2 linked regions of the Tribolium castaneum genome follow. The protein of the gene in region 1 interacts with the protein of each later gene in a pairwise test. Links are inferred from orthologs where the notes say so. Each region holds a gene or a part of one and is shown on either strand. Other genes may lie near its edges. The genes, in order: RNA polymerase II-associated protein 1 and Polr2L.

Region 1 (4,590 bases):
ACCACCGCCTCAAAATGTGGGTTTCCCGTATTTCTGGGTCAATTTTAAGCAAACTAGTGCCCATCAAAGTGATACTTTTCGCACCTCTAAATTCATAAATCTTTGCATTTTTAACCAAAATCACCGGATTACCGGTGACTGCGAACGACTCTGCCTGTGAGCCCCACAAATTCAGAGAAATCTGCCCAAAAACACGAATTTAAAAAAAAACACCCAAAAAAAACAAAAAAAATTACCGCGGTTTTGGTCTGATCGACTAACACGAGCTGTCTTTTCTGCATCTCGCGATTGGTTGATTTCGCCACAAAACTCTGCAGTTCCGAAATTGTCTTGCAAACGCCGATCACGTCTAAAATACTCATTCTCTAAATTTAAAACGTCGGCAACCAACAATACACGCATGCACACAGTGCTGGGTTTTACCCAATTACCAACAATGGTCCCAGCTTCCATGACCGCTACTTTATCAATCGTGGTGAAATTGTACGTTATTTGTGGGATGATCTCATTGTCGTCATAACTCGGCTCGATGATCGTTTCCGGGGTGAAGTACATTTCAAACTGGTGCTTTAAGGAGCAAAATTGGCGATTGATTGGCTGGAGCTGGCATTTGCTAATGTAGTAAACCTTGTCGACCTGGAATTTCGCACGTGATTGGGGGAAAACCTTGGGTGGTTTACCTCAAGGCGATCGAAAAACTTATCAACAAGGTCCCGGAAAGCGGTGCATCTGATTTCGCCCCCTTTGTCGACCAAATCGATGCTGAAAAGCTTACCCTCCCCCTTGGCATTGCTCCAGTTTCTCACATTCGTCTTATTAACGACTCTCGCCCTAATTATCCAGTTGTTGTGAAAGGGGTTTAAGCTAGCTATGGGACTGATTGTTTTTGAGGAAAATGAGCCATTTATGCACTCATTTCTCTTGATAACGTCACTCGATTGCGTCAAGGTTTCAGAGTCGGATAAAGAGACAGGGTTTCCGATTATCTGACCTACAAACTCCCCACGCGCAACCACTTCCAGTTCCAAAATCGCAATAACTCGCCTGTTTTAGCAAAACAATGCAAATTGCCAAAATAATTGGTGGCAATACGTACGCATCTATGTTATTCTTGTTTTTTATAACGTTGGAAAGATAGCGCTTTAGTTTAATAATCGTAAACACCTGCTCTAAGACGTGGGGCAAAGTCTGGTCGTTCTTTGGCACAGTAAACACTGCAATATTTACTTTGTGCAAACCGTCCGAAATCATCAGGCGTAAGCGCGAGCTGCTGTCGCTACCCCCTGGAGACATTTTTTTAGTCCCCAAAATTTGAACAAGAGGGTCAATGACCTCGCCCCCGTACATAATCGTCTGAAACAAAAACACGTTGCGAAGGCTTATCACCGCGAGAAATGCACCTGAAGCGCCCCTTCTGATAATTTGTACGCAGAAGCCATCACAAAATGCACTAATATCACTGAATTTTTACAATAATTAAAAGACAAAATTCGCAAACTTTGACTTGCCGCAAGAATGGCGTCGGCAATGCTGCCAACCGGAAACTATCACTCCAATTTGGGCAAAAATCGCCCCTTATTTAAATCAAACATTTAGGGGTGAATGTATTTCCTCGTATTTCTAATTTTTCTCGGTATTTACGCTTGTGGTTATTTCATATTCGGGTAAAATTTGCGTCCAGTGGGGCCAACCCGGCAAAGTTAAAGTACCAGTTGGTTGTTTTCAAAGCGAAATTTTCGAATCTTGCGGTTTTTTTTTGGATTTTTTAATAATGTATGCGCGACCTAAACCTGGCGAGACGGAGGAAGACCTGCTCCGCTTGCAGGAAGACTTCAACCGGGCGCAGTCCGAGAACAAGATCAAGTTGGCTGCGACCGTTATTAGCGAAAAGCGAGGTTAGGTCTTGCATTTTGTTGATTTTCCGGAAATAGTGCCTTTTAGACCAAACGGCTGCGCCTGTCGCCACCGACATCCAGGACCAGATCGCCAACACGTTCGAGGCAATTCCCGACGCGACAAATGTGGGAAAAATCGTGGAAAAACTGGCGGACAAGACAGCTTTGCCTCTGTTAAATTTTAGCACAAATGGGGGCTTCCCCAAGCCTAAGCGTCGCGACGCGAGTTGTGAGGCGTCGAGCGATGGGGGTAGTATTTTCGCGCGGCAGTTCAAACGCATGAAAGGGGGCAAAGGCCCCCCTAAGCCAGTACCAGAAGTGGCGCTTCCGAGCCAAAGTTTTGTCTTGAGTGGCTCAGAAAAAGACTCCATCCATGCGGAGAATGTCCAGAAGATGAGGGGCATGTCCGAGGAGGAGATTTTGGAGGAGAGGGAGCGACTTATGGCAACTATGGACCCTGCGATTATTGCGTTTTTGAAGTCACGTCGACGGGAACAGGACGCGAGAATGAATCGAACGCCGACGATTCAGGAACAGAACGAAGCGGCTGAAAATATGGACGTTGACGAGATTGAAACTGCGAGCGAGATTTTGAAGCAACCGCAAGCGGAAAAGTGGCTCAATTTCAAGACGCTGGAGACGGGGAAATTGGCGTGGATGAAGGGTGTGGAAATGCCGAAAATAGACAAAAATAAGAGCTTCGAAGCCAGGTTTATAATGCGTTCTAACTGCTGATCAAAGTGGCCTGTGACTGGTGTTGCAGTTGGAAAACAACTGATTTTTTTTGCCCCAAAACGTGCTTAAACTTTTCGGCGTAATATTGTCAAGACAATTTACGCGAAGTTGTTTTAAAAACGAAAAAAAAAATGCAATTTTTTATTTTATTTTGTGCTCTAAGGCCTGAAAATGACAAAAAAACACCATTATTAATGTTTTCGTTTTTTTAATCTTGAAAAATAAATGATTATGGTTAAAAAACAAACTAAATCGACCGAAACTGTTGAAATGAACATGAATTTATATCCAACTTGGTGGATTCTCAGCCAATTTCTCGAAAAAAAATTGTTTTTACCTCAAAAAATAACACCATTTTCTGATTAATTTATGATTCTTTGGCGTATTTTAAAGGAAATTTTGCGAAGTAATTGCGTTTACAAATATCAGATTTATTAACATGACAAAAATTATGTAATCTTTGATTAAAGATTATTTTCCTGCCTGTTTTGTGGTGCTTAGAGTCCACAAAAACAGTATAAATAACGTAATTTTCGACCAAATTTTGTGGATTTTTTTTAACAGAACTTTGTCAAAATTCAAGATAACCAAAGTGAAACAAAAAAAAAACAATATCAATGAGTAAAACTACTTGAAAAATACAGTTTTCTGCTTATTTATAACAAAATATTGCAAAATAATTGCATGTTTTTGACTGCAGAACGTTCTAAAAGCGCTAAGAAAAAGCAAAAATAATGTAATTTTTGACCTAATTGTTGTTTCTGCGAAATCTTACAAAAAAAAACTCACAGTTAAGTCCGCAACCATGCGTAAAGGTTTCAAAAAATAAAAATAAGCTCATTTTCGACCAAATTTATTAGTGGGTTGTTGGTTCATTTTTCTCAAAATTTGTAAAAAAATCAAGCATAACAATCTAAAATTTAGTAATTTTGCAGCGGGTTTTATTAAAATTTACAGAAAAAAAATACATCTACTTCAGAAAGGTGACTTGTTTTTTACGTAAATTTGCTAAATAAATACATTTACGACTGTAAAACGGCGTAAGATATATTTATTATTAGAGAAACCTCACTTAAATTGTAAAACCTTAGTTCTAAAGGACTGAAAATGGCAAAAATACTACCGTTTCCGATCAAGTTCTGTGTTTTTTCGGCTTATTTTAAATAAACAAAATCAACTTTGATTTATTGTCGTGATTTTTCTGTATGTAACAAATTGCAAGGTAATTTAATATCTGTTAAAAAAAATAAAGAAATAATATTTTCGGCGTGGTTTAATGAAAACTCAAAATAAATAGTACCGTCTTTTAACTAGTTCGCTGACTTTTTGACTTATTTTTGGTATTTCTGGACGCAAAATGTGCAAAAATTAAAAGACTGACTAAGCGTTGCCAACTTAATTCTCACAGTCAGGGCCACTTTGGTCAGAATAATGAAAACATTTGCAACAAGTGAGCAATTTCAACGCTGTTTAAAGGTTTGATTTTGAAGGCTGGGTCCTGCCATACACCGAAAAAGAAATCAGCGAAAAATCTAGGGTTTTGTACCACCATGGCGAAGAGGCCGGCAGGCCTGGATACACTTTACAGGAACTCTTTCAATTATCACGGTATTTATGTGCAAAAAAACACCAAAATATTAATTCCCCAAATGTAGGTCGAACGTAATCCAACAAAAAATCATCGCGCTGAACACCATTGCCAACATTCTGTCTTTACACTCAACAGGGGTGTACGACGACGTTATCGACTTGCCCCTTGAGCAGATTTTCTTCGTTTTGCGTTTCTGTCTGGACGACAACACGCCCGCGGTCCTAAACGCCGCAATTAAAGCCATGAGGAATTTATTTTACAGCAAAGTCGACGAGACTTGCTTGGACTGTCTCCTAGGTTTTGGGCTAAGTCAGGTGCAGCCTGTCTTGGCCGTAGACAACGAAGAGGACGACGACCGAGTCAACGACC
Region 2 (2,351 bases), on another chromosome or scaffold:
AGTCACCCTGTATCTTTTAAAAAAATCACCAACAATTATTGTCTTATGGTGTTACAAACACTTAAATTAGCAAATTATACAATAAATAATTTAATATTAATCATATTAATATTATTAATCACTGGAAACAAAACAACAATTAAAATGGTTGCTAAAGAAAACAAATACAAGAATGATAAAAAAATCAAGTTGCTTGGGAAAAGATCTGACTTCATTTCTAAACTTTACTGGACATCCCTTATCACCATATCGACACTTTCTTGACCCTCTAGACATGGTTGAATTAACAAAGATAATGCAATTTTTTTGAATAACTTTATAAAAATAAACAAAAAAGTTACCGTGAACTCGTGAAGTAGGAAAAACTAAATAGGATGTTGCAAAAATGCTGGTTTATGAAAGACAAGGCATAATAGTAAAATTTATTCAAAAACGCGCCTTTTTACATGCCATAAAATTAAACTTACACCTACACTTACTTAACAGACTTACTACTACAGATTACTTCTCTAAAGGAGCATAATTCAATAACTTTTCAATAAGATCGACGTGTCCAAGAAGCATTCTTCTGCAACAGTACCTCTTCAAACCCAAAGCATCCAAAGCATCTCCTTCCGTATATTCAGCTTGCAAAAGCCCAAGATAAGCCTCCCATTTATTTCCAATAACTTTCCCACAAGTAAAACAACGAACCGGTATAATCATCTTGTCTCGACAAAACCTGAAAAAATATAACCTAATTTTTCACTGACACATCAAAAATTAACCAAATTCTGTACCTCACACTCTCGCTTAATCAAAATTTGTTGCGTTGGTATTTAGACTTTAAATTAGATTACTTTCAAAAAGCTTTAACTGCGCTTTTCTAGAAGCTTTTTGATTTCTAATTTCGTGAATTTCTGGGTTCTTCACTTCTGGAATATTGGTGCTCCTGATCAATTGAAGCTTGTGGCCTGCCATCTGTCGACGGCAATAACAAATAAGGATTAATTTCTTGATTAAATTATTAAAAAATCGCAGAAAACATGTGAAAGTTATATTGAAAACAAAGCCTAATTTTTTGTATTAATTTACCGCGTTGTTTCAAGCACGTTTTGTCAACGTGAAGTGGTAAATTTCTACAAATGTTTCAAGCGGAAGTGTGAAGTTTGAACAGCTAAAGCCGACTTTGACTAACCGCGTAGTCACTTCCGGCGAGCAGTTACCGCTACTTTGCAAGCAAGCCGGCCATTATTTGTTAGCGGCAAGCTGCGTGTCTGTTGATAAAACGGTTAAAAGTGCACCAAATTCCACTAAAACCGTTTACATTTGTGCATCAACTTCGGCCCCAGACCCTCCTACAAGCCACAACCAAATTTGCCAAATATGGGTGACGAAAAGAAGGTAAACATGACTTTTCTTTCCTAACCATAAACGAGGTTTTTTTCCCGTAATTTTGAACTGATACTCACGTTTTTGGGACTTTGCAGAGCAATGAAACGGAACATATCAACTTGAAAGTACTGGGACAAGATAATGCTGTCGTCCAGTTCAAGATCAAAAAGCACACCCCTCTCAGGAAGCTGATGGGGGCTTATTGTGAAAGAGCGGTAAGTGTTACACTTTATCTCAGATTCTTTAGTTTATTACTGGGACAAATGAGTAAGAACATGGATTGTGATTCATACTTGTGTTTACTAAAATGTATCAAAAGCCGCATCCTTTCTCCAAGTCTTTAATGTGCCATGATTTGCATTTTTTTCATGTTTGGACGTCTGAAACCGCCACATTTGTTGCAACTCAACTTCTTAAATGTCTAAACCAGGATTTGTTAATGTTTGTTCACTCCTGTGCGTAGTGATTGGTTGTATTCGGAAATAAAATTAACTAGACGCCCTCTGGTGACGACTTTTGAACTATGTCGAAAACAGTAACGAAATTTTCGTAATTCAATATTTAATTTAATTTTTTAATTTAACAATTTTGCGTGTGTAGTGTTAATTACTTACAGTAGAGAGAATCACTTTAAGGTAGTTGGGGCCTTACAATCGGAGCAAAAAGTTAGGCCAAAAGAATATATGGTGCCACAGTGTATAGTATCCACAGTAACCAACCCAAAAATTTTTACTGTGAATGTACTGCCCTGGCCAGTCATAACTCATTTGTGGAATGTGACAACACTGTCGGAGTTTCGATTGAAAATGTCAAATGTGTCAAATAATTACATCACAAAGGAAGAATTATTAGGCTAAAACCATCGATAAACGATGAAAAGCTACAGCGGTTTTACTGTAAACGCGTCCTATTTTCGAAATTTAACCGAAAAAAACCGTAATTACATCTTCTAGGTGGCCCCTGTGGCACGCTCACCT

Evidence for each region.
Region 2: the proteins of RNA polymerase II-associated protein 1 (region 1) and Polr2L interact in binary tests that used the Homo sapiens proteins (3 or more experiments, as listed by UniProt). The link is inferred for Tribolium castaneum from reciprocal best matches to the Homo sapiens genes RPAP1 and POLR2L.

What each region holds. Positions count from the first base shown.
Region 1 is NC_087395.1:23,134,634-23,139,223, forward strand, and holds the start of RNA polymerase II-associated protein 1, read left to right. Parts: upstream 1-1,688; 5' UTR 1,689-1,771; coding exon 1,772-1,895; intron 1,896-1,941; coding exon 1,942-2,605; intron 2,606-4,106; coding exon 4,107-4,238; intron 4,239-4,285; coding exon 4,286-4,590. Other genes in the region: replication protein A 70 kDa DNA-binding subunit, read right to left, coding at 1-181, 237-349, 432-636, 681-1,044, 1,097-1,353, 1,401-1,439. UniProt on the Homo sapiens protein: Forms an interface between the RNA polymerase II enzyme and chaperone/scaffolding protein, suggesting that it is required to connect RNA polymerase II to regulators of protein complex formation.
Region 2 is NC_087394.1:15,049,805-15,052,155, forward strand, and holds Polr2L (RNA polymerase II subunit 10), read right to left. Parts: upstream 706-2,351; coding exon 502-705; downstream 1-501. Other genes in the region: Sumo (small ubiquitin-related modifier 3), read left to right, coding at 1,366-1,383, 1,470-1,589. UniProt on the Homo sapiens protein: DNA-dependent RNA polymerase catalyzes the transcription of DNA into RNA using the four ribonucleoside triphosphates as substrates.